2 linked regions of the Arabidopsis thaliana genome follow. The protein of the gene in region 1 interacts with the protein of each later gene in a pairwise test. Each region holds a gene or a part of one and is shown on either strand. Other genes may lie near its edges. The genes, in order: ERD15 and PAB8.

Region 1 (10,427 bases):
CAAAAGAACCATTACCTAACATATTATTCTCCCAGATTAAAACCATGACCTAACATCAATAATGGAAACCAACCCATGTGGATAGAAGACCATACATTTCGTGAAAATCCCAAGAGAACGAAATTATTTCTTTCAATGACGTTCAATATCAAACCTAATACTTGTCTATTGAAAGAATCAATAATAGATGGACGAAAACTGGATCATTGAGATGTGACCATACGAATTATGAACACAAAGATTTTAAGATCCAAGCAATAAACTATGGCATAGAATAGTGTCTCCCAACCAATTTACATTCCCATAATCAAATACAAACTAAGGCAGAACGTCGATAGACAATAGTTAAAATGTTATGAACCGAAGAACATTACACATAAAACGAAAGAGAATCATCGAGAGATTCATTTTTAATGCCCCACAAATCAATTAAGGTTTTTGTTTAACCAAAACCCTCTTACAAATAAATCCCGAAGCTTTATGCAGAGAGAGAGAGACTCCAATCAGAAGCAAGCATCCAAGAGACAGCAACAACACAGAGCAGCAAGACTGCAAAAGCAAAAACAGTGTTTACATTTCACAATCAGTATTAAAAACAAATCCAGTTGCTTTAAGACATGCAATGTAGTAAGCAGTAGCTAGATCATGCAAACAATCAAATCCTAAAAGATGCACATTCATCAAAAACAACATCCGATTCACACTGTTAAGTAAAGCCATCAAAGAACAACAATTATCCTGTATTCAGTGAAGGAACAGAGAACACAAAAAGGATCCATCTTGCTAAGCCAATTTACTTATCAAAACTTGTACAAGTATAGTTTCAAGTACTCATAAACAGTTAAACACTACCAAACCAATAACGACAAGAACACAATCACAATTCTAGTTTCTTTAAAGCATGCAATGTTGTAGTAACCAGTAGCTAGATCATGCAAACATGTTAAATCCTAAAAGATGCAAATTCATTAAACACAACAACAATTGTCCTGTGATCAGTGAATGAACAGAGATCACAAAAAGTCAACCTCTACAGAGGAATATTCTAGCTAAAACCACATGACCTTTTGTTCAAAGAATCTCTAGAAGAAATATTTAAAATAAGGAATATAGTCAAATTCAAACTATACACAAAATCTAATTAGTAAAAACAGATTAAATATAATGGAGTGTGTTTATTGACTAACCATCCTTCTAGAAAGCCAGGACTGCTCTGTTGTTGCTGATGCTGCGGTGGTGGAGGATATTGAGGCGCGTACGGTGGAGGATATCCTTGCTGAGGATAACCTTGTTGAGGATATCCCTGAGGTGGATAGCCTTGCTGAGGATATCCCTGAGGAGGATATCCTTGTGGTGGATAAGCATCTTTTGGATATCCCTCCGGTGGATAACCTATTGATACAATTTCAGCACAAACAAAATTCAGATCCGTCGTACAAAAACAATAATCAGTACCAAATTAAGCAGATCTAAGAAAAAATTACAAATCTAAAAACCGAAACTTCTAAAAGTAATCGAAAATAGAAGGAAAGAGGACCTTGAGGAGGAGGAACACCAACGGGAGGTTGATTGTACTGGCTCATTGTTTCCTTTGAAGAAAAAGTGTAAACTTCGTAGAGAAGAAGGAGATCACGAACCTTAGATCGAAAAAGTTTATAGAAGCGATAGAGAAGGACAAGGAAAAGAGGAGAGTGTTTTAAGTATAACGCGTTTTGCAGTTATTTGATTTTTCTTGTTTTTATCCATAACTTTAGGCTAGCGTTCAATACGATGAATTAAAATGAAACTACCAATAAAAAAGGTTAAATTAAAACAAGATTCACGCGGTTTCTGCCTTTTGCAGCGATATTATTTCTGTTTTTTTTTTGTTTAATAGAACTTAATTAATTGGAGAACAAAGATTATTGATTGGTTGTTTATTCTGTTGTTTTTTCTAATGTTCTGTATGAAATCTAGTGATGCTTAATTTCTTTTTGTATCTTACTTCAAATTTCCTTAGAATATAGAAATTCATTTTGTTTTATCGAGTCGATTGACTTAAGACACATTACAACATATGATAAATAGATGTACACAATAGATAAAGTAAAAGTGTCTACATTCTAAACCCCACTTACCTACTTCCAATGTATACTAAAAAAGAGGAGATATTCATGTACATATATACATTTTAAGGTTTCCAATCTCTTGAAAAGGCTTGCTGAATCACATTGTGAAAGTAGCAATGGCCTGGACTTCACTACAACATTTTCCTTCCCGCCAATTACACATCGTTCTCTTTGAGCTACTTCATCTACTAGTTTTGCCACTGCTATTCTAAAACTGACCGTAAGTGGTTGATGCAAAGAAGAAAATATGATCAGTCATTCCGTTTTGCAACATAACAATGAAGCAGAAAATTATGTATGTTCATTTCGATAATCCTAGTTGTTCGACACCTTAATGATCTTGGTGTCCTTGTATAGATTACCTTAGAATTTGGTTCTTCATTGTCATTGGTTAGCTTTTCAAACTTGATGTCCTATAAAAATGCACATCTCAGACATTACGTAAATCCTAGAATCTACTTTTGGTACTTACACGATACAATACCGAAAACGTAAGTACCAAAAGTAGATTCTAGGATTAGGCCCAAAATGATGATGTAAAACAAAATCATGAGTGGGTTAGGCCCATACGGTCATAAATGGGCTTATATTGGATTAGTTTCCTCCTACCTTATCCTCTTTCCGACCAAATTTAAGATATTTTATAGAAAGAATAATAATTTAACTTTTTAGTGTGAGTAGCCAACAGGATTGGAACGAAAAAGAAAGTCAATAAAAGCCAACAGTAACGCGTCTACACGTGGACGGTTGATTACTCAGAACCATGTTAGCTATGGGTCCAGACCTACCCACTTGTGTCTCACCTTTAATCCTGCCTCGACGTTACGAACCCCAGCTTCGTCACCGAACCTTACTTTATATATTAGTCCTTCTTCTTCTCATCTTCTCGCAACGTAGGTTCTGGTGAATGATCCTAATCCGTTTAGCTTTTAAAAAAATAAGAAGACATATTTATCAACTTGATCAACTTGAGCAAGTTGCAGCAGATATTTTCCTCGGCCAAGGTAAAGATCTGATGTTGTCTTCTTCTCTACTCGATCAATTTCTATATTTGAAGTTCGTGGATTTTGAAGGATTTGATTGGTTTCCATGGTATTAGATCTCTGTGATGGTTGTTGATCTATCTTAAAACTTGATTTATCTTCAGTTCTCTCGATTTCAAACTTGTACTTGTCCTACTTCAAGTGATCTAATCGGAAACTTATTGTTGCTATGTTTACTGATCGTACAGATCTATTGATCTAAGGATTAAGCTATGTTGTGATTGAGTTGTTAGATTTGAATTTGAATTTGAACTGAGCTTGTTTGTTTGTGTGTGCAGATCTAGAGTTTTGAGAATGGCGATGGTATCAGGAAGACGATCTACTCTAAACCCCGACGCACCTCTTTTTATTCCGGCAGCTGTACGACAAGTGGAAGATTTCTCACCGGAGTGGTGGCAATTGGTGACAACTTCGACTTGGTACCCTGATTACTGGATCAGTCAGCAGCAGCAAGGCGCGGATGGTTTCTATGACAACGGAGAGAATGAGAATGGTGGAGGTCATATCGATGTAGCTGATCTTCTTCCAGAATCATTTGATTTTGATGATATGGAAGATTTCTTTGACACTGATGCTGCTGAGTTTGATCAAGGATTCGATGGAAGAATGTATTACCAAGCACCTTCCGAATTTGGTAAGTCGGTTTCATTCCCCTGATACATAGAACCATCCAAGATCAGTAGATTTGTGGAGGCTAATTGTTGTTTATATATATCATCAGGCTTTGGAAAGAATGGTGAGATGGTTAAGAAATCAAGTGGAAACAGGAGCCCGAGATCGATTGTGGAACCAGCTAAGTATGCGGAAAAGCCAGCGAAATGGGGAAACCAGAGGGTTGCTGCTGCTCCGAGAAACATCCACCAGCCTCGCTGAAGAGATATGTTGTTAACTAGTCAGAGAAGTCAGAGCAGTTCGGTCTGTGTATCTTTAGCCACCACTGTACCTTTGTAATTTTTAGTATTTGCTTCCACAACAAAAATCTGTAACTTTGTATCTTTATGATGTTCATTCTCAAACTTGCTATCACAAAAATGTAAAAACATAAAAAAAAAAAAATGTAAACTTTGAAGAGAAATGAGAACTAGAGTTTATTTCCTACCTTTGTCTGAGCAATTCTATTCAATTACCAAAAGTCTTATCCTGCATCGGTGATGGCTACCGGAAGCAGTTGCATCAATGTTGCTTTGGCTTTACGACCAAAAGAAAGCCATCGCAGAGCTCAAATATAGAAGGTTTTCACGTCTCAGCTACTGAAAATGATCAGTTCTCTAAAGACTAGAACTCTACAAGGTTGGTGGCTAAGAAAAGGATGTCGATTACATCATAATGCTAATACACGCAAAAGGTCAGGAGTGTCGAACATGTTTTAACTTGCAAACATTGCCGACGACACCAAGTTCATTTCGAGCTCGGAATTGAGATACCGAAGACATGTCCAAATTTAAACCGGACTTAGTAAATTCCCCATCAAAAATGGGGAAAATGAGACTTTTCTTTCGTTTGATGCGAAAACTCTCGTCTTGACTCTTGAAGCTTTGTTTTTTTGACTCCACAAGTCGTCGATTTGACATTCGAACAAATGATTAGTCAGACGATCAGAAACGCTCCAAAACGCAGCGCTTTGGCTAGAACAGAGCTTTAAGACACCTATGTTAATACGAAAATACCCTCTGATAAACTTATTTATACACTCGACGTTTCGTTTTTTTTTCCAGTTTTCTGAAAAGTAAATTATTTGAAATCCCGCTCTGAATTATTACAATGGCGCCAAAGAGAGCATCGCCGATGCAGTCTTCTCTGTACTCTATCGGTAAGAACTCGGAAAGCCCTTGATTTTATTCAGAAAACTCCGATCAATCAAATGAATCTTCGTGTGTTTTGATTCGATTTCTCCAGGTGATTACGAGGTTGCAGTGGATGGTAAGAATTTCACCTGTGAATCCGGACCCAAAAGCATTCAAATCAAATTTCCCAGAAACTACACAGTCAAAATCTCAGGTTCGTCTAGAATTTGGGTTCTTGCGGTTCTGTTTTTTTTCCACTCTAATTTGGTTGTTAGTCATTTTGGGCTCTATGATTTGATTATCTAATTCAATTTCATCTATTGATGTTATGCGGCTACTAGCAAAATGTGTAACAAACTCAATGTCCATAATTTTTCTTTTTGTGGTCAAACAACTCAATTTCCCTAAATTACTTTAGGAAATTTTCCATAATATTGGACCAAAAAAACTCCGTCTGTACTTTTTTTTTTTTTTTGGCAAAAAACTCCGTCTATACATGTAACAACAATCCTCGCAATTTCCAAAGTGGAAAAAAAGAAAAATTGGGTTTCGGTCGATCCGATTCGATGGGGAGAGAGGGCGATCAGATGAAGAGGAAGCGAAGAGATCTAACGAACAAGACGAGAGGGCCCTGCAATTTCTGCGAATTCTCCAGCAGCAGGTACTTGGCTCACAGATGGCAAACAAGGGTTCGATTTTCTAGGGTTTTCATTGTTGATTTAGGTCTTTGAAGTAATTTAGGATATGGGAACCATCACAAAATCTGCTTATTAGGTTTATTGATTAGCTATTTACTCGGCTTAGTTGGATCTCGGAATCTGAATCTGAATCTGAGGATATGATTGAATCAGACAATAAACTTAAACCTAAACCCCTTGGCCTTTTTCCAGATATGGATGCAGCTCTGAAGATAAGCTGCAGGAGCAAGACAATGAAGCAGTGGTATGTAATTACTTATGTACTCATATATCTATCTCTTTGTATGTTATACCTGTGTTTTTGCTTACATTCAACTTCTCTCCTTGCAGCTGCGGAAAGAAGTCGAGAGATTACGGCTTTTGATCAAGTATGCCTGCGTGCGTTTCCCACTTTCTTGTTCTGCATATTCATTTTGGTTGATGAGTTTTCTTTCATGATTCCAGGAGAATGACTGGGAAGGAAGATATTGTCAGCTTCACCGAGCTGCTAGCTCTTCAAAGTCACCTTATGGATGTCCGATCCATTGTGCTGGAGCAAAAGGTGAAATAGGGGGAAATATTACTTGACTTTTTTTTTTTGTTTCCGTGTCGTTATTATCAAGAATTTTCTTTAACTATTGGCTATTGCAGAAGGAGGTAGAGCTGGAAGAAGCTGAAAGGCCGCACAAACAGGTAAAGTATTCTAATTCTTAATTTAGCTGTCTTCTTTTTTTTTGCCCTGTATCCAAATTTTTTTTGTTGAGGAAAGTCAGTTTTACCCTTTCCAGTCTAAAATCTCTCACAAGGCCATTGCTTTTGCCTCTCCTTTTTTTCTTCTTAAAGTTCCTTGTTGACCTTGCAAGTTCTTAAGCTTTCTCACCTTTTACTTCTTTCTTTCTTTTTTCTGTCTTCTCGGGTAATTACGTATCTGACATATATCACAATCCCCTTCGATTTTGCAGAAGAAGGAAGCAGAGCATGATGCTGACGGTATGAGGAGAGGGGTTTTGGTTCCTTGCAAATTCTCTGCCAGCAGGTAATCTCTCTGCTAAAGAATTGAGTTATTTTTTGTTGGGTTTGGTCACAACAATTTGTGTGTCTGTGCAAATGGGAACCATTTTTTTTCTAGGGTTTCTTTCTGTCGAAGTGAGTGTATATGAAACCTGCCCTTTTTTTTTTTTTTTATGAGCTATATAAACCAAAATCAGTTGTAGTTTCGTCCTTATTAGCTACTATTGGACTCAACAGTGGGAGTTGAATCCTTCATCTCTCAGAATCTGAGGGAGATCACTTGTTTTTTTTTGTTCTTCTTTTCAAAGTTGTAGCTGTCTTGGTGCAGCATATCACGTTATGATGTCTTGCTTTTTGATCATCGAAACCAATTGTGTAAAAGGAAAGGCTGACTTGACTTGTTCTGCATATATATAATACAGCTTGGGAGAAAGACAGGAAGATCCAAATGGTGAAGCACCACTGGTGCGCGTATATTCTCTTCTCTTCCTTATCTCTTTTCTTTCCTCAGACTGTGTCTTTAAAATCCTCATTTTCTTGCAGCTGCAAATGCAGAGGGAATTCGAGCAACGCAGCTCTGAATCCTTGCAGAGCGAGTTCGACAAATTATGGCTTTTTAACGAGTAATAACTCAATACCATTTCCCACTTCTTGCTCTGCAGAAGTCTCTGTTTCTTTTTTTCTTTTCTTTCATTTTGGGTTTTCTTTCATCTCACAGGAGAATGAATGGTAGAGAGCTCGAGGGTATGACTTCCTTCGACCTGTCCATACTTCACATTCAGATATTACGAGCTCTACGGGCTTTGATTGACCAAAAGTTGGGACCAAGACAAGAACATAGGGCATGGCAGCGCGGAGAGGTAAAAATTTATCTATCAGTGTATATTATATGTTTTTAGTAACTAGTGTATCTGAATCGTTTCTTCTATTCACACATTTTCTTAGCTTGTTTGCCACACCGACAAGGAATCAGTCTCTGGGTTAGCTGAGCCCGGGAGATGTTCGTCGGATAATGACAAGGATGCTGACTCTTCCTTGCAATGTAGACTTCTTCTCGTTTCAAGAAAGCTCAGAAGATTCCATAATTCTTATCAGCGGAAGAGCATGCCGGAGACCAGGTCGGTCTGCCAGAGTCGAGTGACTTCCGATTGACCTTATCTGCCCTGGTTGCTGCTTTCTCTGTTTCTATGTTGACATATCAACTTGCCACTTTATTTGTCTTAGTCTTGAAGTCTACGCATCTTGGATTGTAAACTTAGAAATACCAATTAGAGTTTAATTTATTACCAAGGTAAGATGTTGTTTTAAGACTCGAGGGGTTTCATATCTCACCATGTTAGGACTTGTGGGTTTCATAGAGCATCAATGAGCTTCTTTTATTTGTAAGAGATTCTCTAACACATGACGATCGATTACTCTATAAACTAGATAAATTAATCCGTATGTTATTCTAGTTAATAAGGGATTACGTTTCTTTTTACCGCATTTCTGATTAATAAAAACCATTGTTTTCAAGCTTGACCCAGATCATTCGATCCGACCAGTTAACCTACGACCCAAACATTTTTCCGATTTAGTTTTAGTGCTAATATCCGACAAATTCAAAAAAAAAAAAAAAATCATAAAAATTCACCATTGATCCGCAACCCCAATGAACCGGTTGAACCATCTAAACTTATTCAGTTATCTTTAGAAAAAATTTCAGTTTTTAAACTCATTTGATGTTTTTTTTTTTGGTGAAGACTTCACAATATCACCTTAAGAGAATGAATGGAATTATGAGAGAGACAACCAAAATTATTTGTTTGGATTCGCGATGTTTTCTTAGTTTATTTTTGTCATTGGTGATTTTTTACTATATTTGTTATGGTTTTAAACTTATAGTTAGAATTAAAAAATTTAATCACTTTATTATTATTGTTTGATTTCATGTTTTTGTTAAACATTATATGATTATTTGTTGTTTTTCTATTTATAGAAGCTATATAATCTTTATAAATATTAAGTATATTAAATAAATTATAATCAATTGATATGTGGTCCAGCAAGGTTGATTATGTGAATCAGAAAATAATCTGGTTTACCGTCACGCTCGGATTTAAAAACATTGATAAAAATACATTATATATATATATATCTTATTATATAATGTACGGTTTTAAAAGTTACTAACTCACCAAATTATGACACGTGACAGTTTTATCAATTTAAGATTTTGACATGTGTTAGAGTTTTTTTTTTTACTTTTTTCCTTAAATAAAATAAAGGAAACTAAAAAAAAAACATATTTACAATTATTAATTTATATAGTTAATTTTTAATTTTCTTAACTAAAATAGAAAACTAACAATAAGATATAAATTTTAAGATATAAATTTATTTAAATATTTATTGATAATATTTAAAATAATATGGAAAACTAACAATAAGATGGAAAACATATATATATATATATATATATTTCGAAACAAATGTAAAAAACAGAAAAAGGAAGTAAGTGTAATGTAACTTTTTCCGTTTTCCATTACAATTTGGGGAATTTTTTTATTTTTTTTTGGGTTAAAAATAAGGTTTGCCTTGGATAACAAGAAATTGCTTTTGCTTTCTATCAGATATTAACTTTGGGTTTCCTTCGATCCGATTAGAAATCTCGAGAATGGGGAGAGGAAGGATTAAGATGAAGTTGAAAGGGAGGCGAAGAGATTTGACGAAGAAGAAGGTGAGAGAGCTCTGCGATTATTGCGGATTCTCTAGCGGCATCATTAGGTAAACTCGCTGAATCAATTATTATTATTAGCTTCGCTTCTTGCGGAAAGGGTTCTATTTTATAGGGTTTTGTTGTTGAAATAGTTCTTAATTAGGTTATTGAGATGTAGAACACGTTGGTTATGAGTTACATACCCTAGCCATCGCAAGATCTGGTTCTGCAATTTTTGATTCATCGTTTCGTTTTTCTGGGCTAGAGCTATTACTGTTGGGTTTGGTAGAATTATTTGGATCTCATATTAATATCTCTTTTTTCTGCAACATAACTATGCTTGTAATCACCTAAACAACAGTTTAAACCAAAGCCCTGACTTTCTTCTGTGTTTGCAAACTCTTTCTAGGTATGATGAACAAAGGCCACACGAACGAGATCACGAAGCAGTGGTATGTATCTTGTATGGACTTTGATCTCTCTGTATATCTTATTTTTGCTCACAAATTGTTTTTCACACTTCTTCTAGTCTATGGAGAATGAACTCAAGAGATTACGGCTTTTAACCAGGTCTAACTCATTAACATTTCCCATTTCTTGTTCTGAAAAGTTATCCCTCTCCTCTCTTTGCTTTGTGATTCTTATGATGTATATCCTTTATTCCCAGGAGAATGACTTGTAAGGATCTCGATGGTCTGACTTTCCCCGAGCTGCTATCACTTAAAAGCCATCTACAGACTGCCTTGCTCATTGTGAAGGACCAAACGGTGAGTAACCAAAATTTAAAATCGGGGAAAAAATAAGAAATAATGCATCTTACTTCTTTCTTCTATCATTCAAAGCGTTAAACAAACCACCTTTTTTTTTATTTATTTTTTAAACTGTTACAGAAGAAGATAGAGCAGCTGCTTAAAGAAGATGATGGGTGGATGCTTATACGGGTAAACATTTCCTAGGCACTTCATCTGCCCTATGAAATTATTGTTTGTGAATCTGCTAGGAGCTGCTGTTCATGTTGATTCTTGTAATATCTTCCATGTTTGAAGCTTTCTTACATTTTTTGTAGAGGAAGGACGCAGAGGATGGTATGGGGAGAGAGGTTTCTG
Region 2 (12,826 bases), on another chromosome or scaffold:
TAACCATAATAAGTCAAAATAAAATTGTACTACTTCATAATTATAGAATGTACTAATATTCTCTAAAACGTGATAAACTCGTTATTTTCTTCTGTCAAACTTTCTGCATTATTATATTTCCATTCGTAGTTAATAGGGTGTTATTCAATTATGGATTTAAAGTGAGTTTCTAAGTTTTATAATCAATAAGATTTGAAATTTAATATTATTTTTAAGAATTTATTGTGTGAATTTCAAAACTCTTTATTATACCTTAGATTAAAATGAATTCATATCTTTTCATATAACATCATGAAATTTCCACCAATAACCTGTAAATGTTTTAATGAATTTTTTTCTTCGTTATTTCAATTTTAAGACCATTGTGAATTCAACAAATTTAGACCTGATATCATTTTTCAAAATGACTCTTTTTAAACAAAATTGATGATTAATTTTCATAATTAAAACATATTTTTCTCACCAAATTTTACAAGATGCAAAATGATTTTCTTAAAATATATATAAAGGTCTCAAAGGATTTTTAAAATGTGATAATACTACATCTGAACATCGTTAAAAATCATGTTGAACGGGTAACTATAAATCATGTAGTTTAAAGATATACTCGTGAGTAAATCTAGTTTTTATGTATATTATTCAGTTTTGTAGTGATACATTCATGTAAGAATTCTTACTTAACAAACTAATTAATATCTGTAATTTAATTATTCGAGTGTTGAATAAGTGTAATTTGAACTTTTTGTTAAGATATGATTTGTAGTACCAAACCATTCCGTCTACTACCGATCTATCAACAGTACTACTCTTGGTAATGGAAGGTTTGTTGTTTTAGAAAGCTAATCAACTTTGTCAAAGTGTACTACAATTTTTTTTGTTTTTTATAAAAATTTCGTTGTTACTCTCTATAATACACTTAACTGTGAAATTCATGAGAGCTCTCAAAAATTAAGTGTATTAACGTCCAAGAGAACTATTTTGAAAAAAAAAAATAACGTACAAATACTTCTTACGCATATAAACAAAATTGAACCTAATTGATTAAGATTTTCGTATTATGCCACCACACCCTGATTTGTCTCTAGCGTATTTAGTTCTCAACGTTCGAATCATTTATGTAACACAGTAAAAAACAAAAAAGAATATTGAACAGTTTAGGCAATTAGAATAACAGTTGTATTATTCAACTTTTATATATGAATTGTTTCTTTACAAAAAAACGTTTAAAAAATATATATTGCATATATTACTAATTTTTTTGTTAACCCTATTAATATTTATTTTCATCGGAAAAAACGGTTTTTACTGAAATCTGTATATAACATTTAAATTCAATGAAATCTGTATGTCTTTTTTTTTCTTTTCGAAAATATGTATGTGTCTTATAATAAGAAATATGTATGTATCTTATAAAAAGAACTCTGTATCTGAAATGAAGAATAATTTAAAAACAAAGAATATTCCAAATTTTAAAATTCGTTACAACGTAACACAAATTTTAGTATCTTTACTAATTAATATTTTATGTGATCTCTCGTTTGAACAATATAAGTTCTTTATCAGAGAAGTTGTTACTCCAATTTTAAAAAGAACAAAAGTTGTAATTATGACCCTTAATTAACTTGTGATTATCTTAACTGTCTAATAAGTATAGGGTGGTAAAAGTGAGCGTTATCTTTATGGTTTTCAGTGCATGTAATCATTGATCGCCAGAGATTTGAAGTGTCTCTTTCTTCTTTCTTTTTCTCGTAAAAACAAACTTTTAAAATTAAATTAAATTGTCTGAATCCGTTCATATTCAATTACGAGTTTTTGAACTTATTCCTTACCTAATGAAAGACTGGATTTTTAATATTTTATTACATACATAAGACAAAACTGGGAATTTTAGAGTTGGGTAACGTGGCAATCATTCACACACCACAATTGAGTCTAATTTTGGATTTTAGCAATGGAAATGGGGAAAAAATCCATGAAGATTAAGTTTTGCTAAATTGTAAAAATTAAAAGCTATTATAAGTAATTTCCCCATTTCTTTTTTCCATTAGAGCCTTCCATGTTCTTTTTATGTTGAGGAAATATGCATGTATGTATTTTATAAAGATACAATATTTATTTATATTATTTTATAAATACATATATTATGTATAAAGATATTAAGAGAAAATAGAATAAATAACACCTTAACGAAAAAAAAAGGAACATCATCAATTTTGCTGATTTTTTTTATTTGTACAACCACTGTTGCTCAGTTTTCTTCTAAGATTTTGAAGACAATGTTTTTTACTTGTAATAATATTTATCTTTTTATTTATCAACTGATGTTACCATTTACCAAAAATAAATCTATAGTACAAAAACATTAAAATATTTGAACAAAACTATATGCATCATATAATTAGTTTGGGAAAAAAATTTTGTTCTAAACGTTACTTGTTTCTTTGAAAAAAAAAAAGAAAAAAAAAATTTGCTCGTTTCTAAATACTGGTAGCAGAATGTCAAAATGATAATGATATTAATTGGGACGATCAGTTCATATATACAAAGGTTTTGTTTTGCCATACATGACTTCAACTGCTCTTCTGCTAAAATGGATAACATGAAAAGCATTTAGGCCCGTATAAGTAATAAGATGATATCATATACAGTAAAAACTCCATAAATTAATAACGTTGGAATAATTCATCTGTTAATTTATAGAAATATTTACGCAAAATATAATATTATATTATTTCTTAATTTTTTTTTTACTTCAATTTTTTTATACTTTGTTGTTTGCATATTTCATTATGTTAAAAAAAAAATTATTTTTCTTTAGATTTTGAGAATCACATTCAAGAATTTGAAGTTATGATTAACAATTTTGGTTATCGAAATAGAATTGATATCAATATCCTACTCGATTATTCGGGTGAAAATAAAGCATGTTTAGAAGTTTATAGTTTAAAAGAAATTATAGCTTTTGTTTGTAATGTTGGTAAAGAAGTTGAAGACGATAATGTAGAATTTTTGGAAATAGTGACACGTAAGGAAGCAATTATCGCATCTACAATTTTTCACAATTTTTGGATGTAGATCGAGAAGACAACACCAAGAGTTTTTGATGTAATAAGAAAATTAGAGATGAACTTCAACGAGATTCGAACTTTTAGAAAAGACAAACAACATTAGACTTATTTTATATTAGATTATTTTAGAATGTATGCTTAAGATTTATGATATTATTGAGACCATATTTTTACATAGAGATTTAAAAATATATATATATATATATATTTTATGATTTTAGTTAATTTTTATATTGGTCCAATTTAGGACTGGCAAAATTAATTAGTTTAAAGAGTTTATTAATTTATCGAATTTCTAGTGTATGTTAGACAATTGCAATTCTAACTCAATTCAAATCAATAGAGGAAAGGAGATGTTAATAGTTTCGACTATACGGCTGTTTCCAACGATTCCCAAGATGCAAAGGAGATTGATCCTCTGCCACCAGGTTTGGTCTTCTTGAATGTAGGAGACAACGAAAGCTTTTTTACAAACAATTTGAAGATAGCGAGGGTTTTGATGTGAACTAGGATAGTTTTAACTACGTGTTATCTGTTGTTAACTTTGACTGGAAACCATCTATAGATGATAAACAGAGCAATGAAGAGCTGCTCAAATTCTCATAGAAACAGCCATCAAAGAACACGATGAAGAATATGGAACAAAACTCGAGTATGTCAATTGTCAAGTATGTGAATGCAAATATTACTACATGCATGGGTCTTATGAATTATGTAACACTTTCGGCTAGAGACCTTATCTCATCAAAACCAAGAGCTTAAACTTTACCAAGCAAAGGCCAAGTTTCGTGATGAGATATAGGTTGTTATGGTCAGGCCAAGGCCAATTCAGTAACTAAGTCGATAAGGTTATTCCAAGGCCCGTTTGATTTCTCCCAGTCTGTTTTCGGAAGCAAGAATAATTTCCTAGAAAAGCCCTGTAAACTTATTGTTACATTGATCATTCGAAGCTTTTAAACCAAATTTTATACCCAAAAGTCGAAACTCTAGACAAAAGCCAAACAATACCCTATCAAATGAGCAGTGTAGGTAAAAAAAGGTGAGAGTAACGATACAAAACTTCCCAAAGTATTAAGAAAATCAAAAACACAGAAGGAAAATGTTAAAACTCTCGCCCAAAACAAAAACTCAAAAATCCAAAACTTTCAAGAACAACTCTGTTTCTGATTCTCCAAAAGAACAAAATAAACACTTTTACAGTGTATATAAACTGAGCTCTTTCAGATATAACTTAGAACTCTCAAGGTACGATGTTGTCTCCAAGAGACAGAGAAGCTAACTGATCAGCTGCACCACCCGCTTGCTGCTGTGCTACACTCCTCAGAACATCCATTGCTTCTGTAACTTTAGCTTTAAGTGCCTCTGGTGATTCCAGCAAGTGAAGTACTTCGGTTTGGTCCATTTCAAGAAGCATTCCCGTGACTTTAGCTGCGGATTCTGGCTCCAGCTGCTCCACAAGCGGGTATAGATTCTCACCAAGCATCTGTATAACGAAGAAACATAACAGGTTTAAGAAAGACACATTTTTCTTAGTTGTTTCCGAGCTGTTAGAAACAAATCATTTGACTTTACCGTTCTCTGTTGCTCTGGAGCTGCATTCGCAAGCCGTGTAGCCAAAGCTACAATAGGAACAGGTTGAGAAGTAGGCGAGTCACGATGATGCACACCACCACCACTTGAGACGTCATATGGAACAGAAAGCATGTTTTGAGTAGGACCAGGCATTGTGTTTACATCTCGCTGAGGATACCGATACATTCGACCTCTTGGATGCATCTGTAGAGAAACAGATTGATGCAAAATGTAAGCATGCTATCGATTTTAAACATGTGGAGAAAGTCTTGGGCCTAAAGCAAAACTTAACCTGCTGCTGCATCATAGGAGAAGGTTGTTGTGGTTGTGGAAGAGCTCCTCTTCTACCACCACCAGGTCGCTGCTGCTGCTGTTGCTGCTGTTGCTGTTGCTGGCCTTGTTGCATCATAGGCATGAAGAAGTTTGGCATTGGAGACCCACCAGGTCTCATACCCGGTACAAGCTGTTGTTGATATCCGAATCCAGGCTGTTCGATACCCAGTTGGAGAAGAAAGTTATAAAGATTGGTCTCAAATGTTTTATGCTTAAAGCTTTGAGCTTTACCTGAGGAATCATAGCAGGAGGCCCTTGACCATAGAAGAGTTGCTGACCCATTGGTGGACCACCTGGTGGATACATTTGCATCCTAGGACCAACCGCAGGTGGCATATTGACCGGCCTCATCTGTGAAAATTGAGCCTAAAATGCCAGAGAGGTCAAATTAAGCACGATAAGCATGGGATTAGGATAATCCTTTTCAAGGATAACAACATGGGTAAATTAACCAGACCTGTAACCTAGCTTTGCGGTCTTCTTTCCGCTGCGCAAGAGCAACATATAGAGGTTTGGTAACGATCATTTTTCCATTCATCTCTGTAATCTGAAACATTGAAAAGAAGACAGTGTTAAGCATCAAGATCCTTCCAGAGAATAGGAGATCACCAAAATTTGACATGTCTTCTTTATATTCTAGTCACTTACAGCTCTAGTTGCTTCCTCAGGAGTTGAAAATGCGACAAATCCAGATCCTCTACTCACTCCACTGGGGTCACGCATCACCTGTCACGTTCAAATGTAATACATTTTAATGCAAATCTGCTGAAGATAGTAACAAGCAGCGCTTTTTATTGTATCAGTCACGGACCTTGCATGATGTAATAGTTCCAAAGGGAGCAAAATGTTCTCTGAGCTTATCATCTGTGACGCTCTCATCCAAGTTCTTAACATATAAGTTCGACCCCTGAGACTTGTCTGCAGCCTCCTTCAAACTTTGCTCAAACTTTTGTTTGAGTTCAGTTTCCCTCTCGGACTTCTTTTGGGCCTTCCCAACAAACCACTCCTTGTCGTCAAAGGTCTTTCCATTTAGAGCGTCAACAGCTCTGGCTGCATCATCAGAATTCTCAAAATTGACAAATCCAAAGCCTTTAGACTTTCCTTCACCATCTCTCATGATAACACAACTAGTAGTCACTCCGAACTCTCCAAAAACTTTGTTAAGCTCTTCATCACTCAAGGACTCGGAGAGATTTTTGACATAAACATTAGTGAACTTAACTTTCTCACCCGAAGGATCTCTCTGCAGCTTGTGAACAAAGGGTCCAACATAAACTTGCTTATCGTTAAGAAGCATTCCATTCAGTTTATCAATGGCTCCCTGAGCTGCTTCATCAGTGTCGTACTGCACAAACCCATAGCCTTTCGACTGACCAGAGGGATCAACGGCCACTTTGCAAGATAGAATGGGACCAAAGGCTGAAAATGTCTCGTGAAGTGCTTTGTGATCAATTGATTTGTCAAGATTCTGAGACACAGATAATAAACCATGTCAATAAACAAACAAACTTTGAGATAGGATATTAAACAAGCCAAGGTTTCTTTCCATCTCTGCATAGAAGTTCAAACTTGGACAATAGGAAAAAGAGATTTAATATATGTACCTTAATAAATATATTACCAACTCCGCTCTTACGGAGACTTGGATCACGAACAGAATACATAACTCTTATAGCCCTTCCATTAAGAGCCATGAAATTCAGCTCATTCAGTGCCCTGGAAGCTGTCACCAATCAGAAATATTAACATCAACATAACTCAAATCATTCATTTCTGTAAGAAGAATAACATTGAGTCTACTCATAACATTGAGGTCATAACTCTAACTCTATGACCTCAAAAGAAAACTATCCTCCCTAACAGCCAAATACCCTGAAAGCCCACAATGTTACCAAATGTAACCACTTTCCAAATTAACCTGAAAGCTTTCACCTTTTTTATAGAAAGCTCCCAAATTTAGATTAGCATTTGATATAACACATCAGTCCATACCCCAAATTCAGATGAGCTACAACGACTAAGTTACCAAATCAGATAAGCCTTAAGAAAGTTACCATCTTGAGGAGTTGCATAGTTAACGTAGCCATAGCCTAGAGATCTCCGAGTCGTCATGTCTCTGCAGACACGGACAGAAACCACCTGACCCGCTTGGGTAAACGCCTCAAACAGCTGTGAATCCGTCACGGTCGCATCCAGATCACCGACATATAAAGACGTCGTCCCTTGCTGCGCAGCTCCGGCAGCCGCCGCCGCAGCTCCAGCCGCAGCCGCCGCAGCTTCAGCCGCAGCAGCACCGGGAACAGCTACACCACCATTGGCATTTTGACCCTGATGCTGAATCTGAGCCATTTTTCGAGATATCAATCCGAATTACCTATCTATCTATCTTCTTCTCCTCTCCAAATCAGCTCAAATCAAAAGATAAAGCAGAGATTTTTAGGAGATGAATCCTCAACGCCGGAGAATAAAAATTGAGTCTTTGAATCGGAAGAAGGAAGGAAAATGGGGAAGTAACCGACGGCGAGAGTTGCAGCGTTGAGCTTAGATAAAAGGGTCAGAGGAAGTGACCTTATCAGAGAGAAGCTCAAATGAAAAAAAACTGCAAAGAGGAAAGACAACTTGGAGGTTTCAGTGTTTATATATGGAAGGTTTCACCAAACCCTAAAAGCTTTGATGGTAATTTGAGAAATCTCAGCCGTTGGATTTACACTGTAGTGTGTCTTGTTGTGGGTCACACACTTGTATAAAATATGCGTTGGGAAATATCTTACCATTTTATTTTATTTTATTGGGCAAAAGTATTTGTGCTCAAAAATATATAACCGTATTCAGACTAATGAGGAGTAATTACTAATGAGATTAGAAAAACAAGAATCAGTGTAAGTGTAGTGATGTTTTATTTAAGAAAATTTGTTAAAATTATTAGTATGTACTGTAGTAAATTTTCTGCAAGGTAAATTAGAAAGTGAAGTGATTTTTGTATAAAAAGGATAAAATATGAAATAGCTGTAGTAACTGTCAAAAAAAAATATGTTCGTTCAGACATATTTAATTATTATTAGTAAATACCATTGAATGACCATGCAAATTTATGAAAATAGCTAAGAAGTTGTAAAGTTTTTGATTAATTTGCAAAAAATATAAAATGGTGCTCTTTTTCTAAAAGAACACATAAAATTTTAAATAACATGCAGTTATCTAACAATTTGGTTATCTATCTCTCCACATACATGTGAATATGTGATGTAATGCATGAAACTAAAAACATGGGGGACTTTTTAAAAAACCTTTTCTAGCTTGCGTTATGAGAAAAGTTTTAAGAAGTTTCGAAATCGTTATGTTGCAACTTCATACCTCAGTCAAGGATAATAGAGGCTAAAGATAGTAGATAATTAAAAATGGGCCAACAAATCTTGTGAACCAGTTTCTTGATGTCTTGGAAAATTATGGACCGAAATTCTAGCCTGTATTGGGCCCAATCTTGCATAATTTAAAATTAGTCGATCGAACATAACTCTTTTTGCCTTTCTAACTGTTTTTAGTATCTCTTCAGCGTGAAATGTGTAATAACAATATCATCTCTTCTATTTTCAGTCAGAAGAAATTGAAACATGGTATACCGAAATCAGTTTATGCTAATTCAGAAGGTAAATTTTTTTAACAGATTGGTAACGACCGTTATTTTTGGCTTTAGAAGGTTTGACTTTAAAAATTTGAGGTACAAAGAATTTAGCTGTAAAGACTTTGGCTGTTAAAATCAGATTGGTAAAACAAAGTTGTAGAAGCTGTGACTGTTATTTTTTATTAGTAACAATAAAACTTTATTACTGATTTTTAAAAATATATATTATTCATTCATTTTTAAAAGACCAAACATTGCATTATTTATATTTATTGTTTCATGCACTTAATATCCAAACACTTAATATCCAAACACATTAATAATTAAAATACTCATCTTGAATGATTCTTATGGCTAAATTTTTTTCTCAAAACTGTTTTGAATGATTTTTTTGACTTATCATAAAATCAACAAATTTATTAATGATAATGAAATGACATCTAACTTTATTAGTGTTGATGATAAAAAATAAAATTATTATTAGTGAAATGGATCTTAAAAAAAAATTAGTAACTTGATAATAATTATTAATCAAAAACGTTTTGAAAAAAGAAATATGTAATTTGTAGAGAACTTTTAATTATGTTTAGAGAAGAAAACGAAAAGCTTTTAATTTGTTTTAAAAGCCTCATTTACGTGACTTTCAAAAAGAAAAATAAAGGAAAAAGAAAAAAAAAAGCTTTAAAAACTTCCAAAAAAAATAAAGTGAAAAAAGTCTGATTGGCAAAAAAAATACTACAAAGGCTTTAAAATCCATTTGAAGCCGTGAAAGCAGTGAAGCCGTGACCCTATGAGGTTATGTCAATGTTGTGATAATGTTGTCTATTTTCTTTCTCTATAAAGTGATAGTTATCATTAGTTGAAGAATGCTAGGATGTTATGTAAATAAGAAAGTTAAGCAATGTTTTCAGTAAATTTCTTTTAGCACAAATTTACTATTTTTAAGTGATGTCTAATCCAATTTCTTTCCAAGTTCAATTTTCTTTCTCTGCCCATATCTTTACAAACCATTATTTTTCGGGGTGAAACTAGTTTTGAGAACAAGTTCGAACAAATGGTTGAAACTTGAGTTGCTTTACGGTATAGTCAAATCATTTGAAAAAACCATGTTATTAATTTGGAATTCCGACTTTCTAGTCATACAAAAAAAACAATAAATGAAATACGAGAAAAGTAGTGAGTGAGAAAAGTGAAAATATAATATTCATACCTCTTGTTTCATATAACGTTCTACCAATCCTCTTGTTCCTGCATATTAAAAGTAACTCATATCAGAGGAGACATGTTGTATCAAACAACAAGCAACAACAGATAAACATTTATCTTTTTTTTTAGTTTCTTTTTTTAAAACCAAGTTGACTATGTTTTAGAGCATCTTCAATGGTGAGTTTTTAATATTAATTAATCAAAAATAATAATAGAAAAGGCAAGAGAATAAGAATGGTTCTTATTTTAAAGTATATAAAATCTTATTTAAAATCCCAAATACCACATATCTTAGTATAATGTCTTAATATGATTTGTTCATTTTTATTTATCACTTAAAATTTAGTTAAATAACAAAATTATATTTAAATAATATTATAATATTGATAAGAGACACTTGGTGAATATTTCACCATTAGAGATGCTCTTTCTTGTTTGTTGTTACAAAATAATACACCCATCCCCAACTATCCTTGAAAAATCACTGATGTTCTCTAATGAACGTTCTCACAAAAAGGTAAATCATCCGTAAATGGCCAAAAACTCCACACTGATAATCATTATTGATAAACTTTTGCTCCGTTCAATTCTCTTTTCTAAATATGTTATATTATATATTAGTATTTATTTATTAGGAGGTTTTGTCGGCAACAAAAAAATAGACAACTCTCGTAAATAACAAAAATAAGTTTTCTTATCAAATTTAGCACACAATCTTCAAACTTCCAAAAATAACATGAAATTAATATTAAAAAGACTAATATAAGCATTTGATTGATAATTCACACGATTTGTGATTTAAAATCATAATTAATTTTATATATTTAGATAAAAATAAATTAGTTATTATGTAAAATTACTAATGCTAATTTTGGAAATTTGTGAAGTTTGTGTTATAATTGTCCATAATAAATTTTTTCATGTTATTTTAAAGTATTTCTCTATAAAAAGTAAAGGTTGGGCCAGGTAAATGTACTTATTGGACTCAATAAACAACTCAAAGATGATTAAATTCATATATTTTACTATGAAATATGTTTTACTATAAAAAACAGCTCAAAATGCTACATTTCATTATTCCTTTCTCCATTTCATTTTTAAAATTCATACTACTCATAAAAGTTCATAGTATGACTATAAGTTTATGACTAGTTTAACTTTCAACTATCTAGCTTTCATATGATTCCCTAGTTCAAAGTTATACTACTCATAAATTTAGATACTCATACTATGAAATTTTTATATAGCAAAAAAAAAATTACATCTCAGTTTGATATCAATAACTAAACATACCTATGTAAAAACTTACATAGTCTACTACCCAAAATATCAATAATTATTGTAGCTCCCACTACCCAAAAGACAATGTCCATTGACTTCACAAGCTTCTTAGTCTTCTCTATTTCTATGCTCTAAAATCTCCTTATATACATAGTCCCCATACTTATCCTCAAAACTCACCACAAAATCTCATCAACTCAATGGCTTCAATTCTCTCAATTCTTCTTCTCATTCTTTCACTTTCAAATCTCCACTTCACTTCAACCACCGGAAACAACCACATTAACGACAGAAAATCCTTAGAAATCATTATCGGTGGTGGTAACGACAACAATCCTCCACCGTCACCTTCACCGGAACCAGAACCAGAACCTGCAGATTGCCCTCCTCCCCCTCCTCCTCCTCCATGCCCTCCTCCACCTTCTCCCCCTCCATGCCCTCCTCCACCCTCTCCTCCTCCAAGCCCTCCTCCTCCACAGCTTCCACCTCCTCCACAGCTTCCGCCGCCTGCACCGCCTAAACCCCAGCCATCGCCGCCAACACCTGATCTACCGTTTGCGAGCTCATTATTAAAGAAAGTCTATCCAGTTCTCCAAAGATTTAAGGATCTAGTCGCAGATGATAAACTTAAGTCTTGGGAAGGCCCCGACATTTGCAACAAATACCTCGGACTCAAATGCGCCATTTTCCCGAAAACAAAGCATCTCGCACTCGCGAGCGTCCAGTTTAATGGGTTAAACTTGAGAGGCAAGATAGGCAAGATCCTCAAGTTAGATAACTTCCTCGACAAGTTAGAAGAAGTCACCATCTTCCACGCAAACTCCAACGGTTTCACAGGCTCTGTGCCTGATTTCAGCAATTTGAAATTCTTATACGAGCTCGATCTAAGCAACAACAAACTCACAGGAGATTTCCCAACTAGTGTCTTGAAAGGAAACAATCTCACGTTTCTTGATCTCAGGTTCAATTCTTTCTCAGGCTCTGTTCCTCCTCAGGTCTTTAATCTCGACCTCGACGTCTTGTTCATCAACAACAACAATCTTGTTCAGAAGCTTCCACTCAATCTTGGATCCATCACTGCTCTTTACCTCACCTTCGCCAACAACAGGTTAGTTTCTCAACTAGTTGATCTAGTCAGAGGTGCAAGAATAGAGAGAGTGTGGTTGAATGTGTGATTATTGAGTAGCTAGATTATTATTTTTAATATTTGTTGTGATGTGACTTAGGTTCACGGGTCCAATTCCCGAAAGCATAGGCAACATCAAGTACCTACAAGAAGTCCTTTTCCTGAATAACAAGTTAACCGGATGCTTACCGTACCAAATCGGAAACCTAACCCGAGCCACTGTTTTCGATGTTGGGTTCAACCAATTAACCGGTCCAATACCGTACTCTTTCGGTTGCTTAGAAACGATGGAACAACTCAATTTAGCCGGAAACAAGTTCTATGGAACCATACCGGAGATTGTATGCGAGATTGCTTGTCTCCAAAACGTTTCTCTCTCGAATAATTACTTCACTCAGGTTGGTCCGAAATGTAGAAAACTCATCAAGAGAAAAATTATGGACGTTAGTATGAATTGTATACTTGATCTTCCAAACCAGAAAACGCCATCGGAGTGTGCTAAGTTCTTCATGCGGAAACAGACTTGTCCTAATTCCAAGTCTTTGTTTACTGTCCCTTGTGATAAGAATCCAAACCGGGGTAAACCGGATCAAGAACGATTGGAGGAGGAAAAAGCTC

Evidence for each region.
Region 2: the proteins of ERD15 (region 1) and PAB8 interact in a two-hybrid assay, tested with the Arabidopsis thaliana proteins (one large-scale study listed by BioGRID).

Annotation. Positions count from the first base shown.
Region 1 is NC_003071.7:17,266,291-17,276,717, forward strand, and holds ERD15 (dehydration-induced protein (ERD15)), read left to right. Parts: upstream 1-2,867; 5' UTR 2,868-3,112; exon of another isoform or gene 3,113-3,429; 5' UTR 3,430-3,445; coding exon 3,446-3,785; coding exon of another isoform or gene 3,786-3,808; exon of another isoform or gene 3,809-3,872; coding exon 3,873-4,024; 3' UTR 4,025-4,252; downstream 4,253-10,427. Other genes in the region: WIH2 (proline-rich family protein), read right to left, coding at 504-549, 1,188-1,392, 1,538-1,583; AT2G41440 (agamous-like MADS-box protein), read left to right, coding at 5,502-5,596, 5,826-5,877, 5,964-6,001, 6,078-6,174, 6,264-6,305, 6,575-6,648, 7,046-7,088, 7,167-7,246 and 2 more; AT2G41445 (agamous-like MADS-box protein), read left to right, coding at 9,280-9,389, 9,731-9,773, 9,851-9,891, 9,989-10,088, 10,212-10,262, 10,388-10,427. UniProt on the Arabidopsis thaliana protein: Central component of stress responses that interacts with poly(A)-binding proteins. Negative regulator of abscisic acid (ABA) responses, including resistance to drought and freezing as well as stomatal closure regulation.
Region 2 is NC_003070.9:18,411,236-18,424,061, reverse strand, and holds PAB8 (poly(A) binding protein 8), read right to left. Parts: upstream 7,588-12,826; 5' UTR 7,323-7,587; coding exon 7,028-7,322; intron 6,697-7,027; coding exon 6,578-6,696; intron 6,442-6,577; coding exon 5,785-6,441; intron 5,700-5,784; coding exon 5,622-5,699; intron 5,521-5,621; coding exon 5,431-5,520; intron 5,340-5,430; coding exon 5,205-5,339; intron 5,128-5,204; coding exon 4,933-5,127; intron 4,845-4,932; coding exon 4,641-4,844; intron 4,552-4,640; coding exon 4,309-4,551; 3' UTR 3,951-4,308; downstream 1-3,950. Other genes in the region: AT1G49750 (Leucine-rich repeat (LRR) family protein), read left to right, coding at 11,283-12,190, 12,309-12,826. UniProt on the Arabidopsis thaliana protein: Binds the poly(A) tail of mRNA. Appears to be an important mediator of the multiple roles of the poly(A) tail in mRNA biogenesis, stability and translation.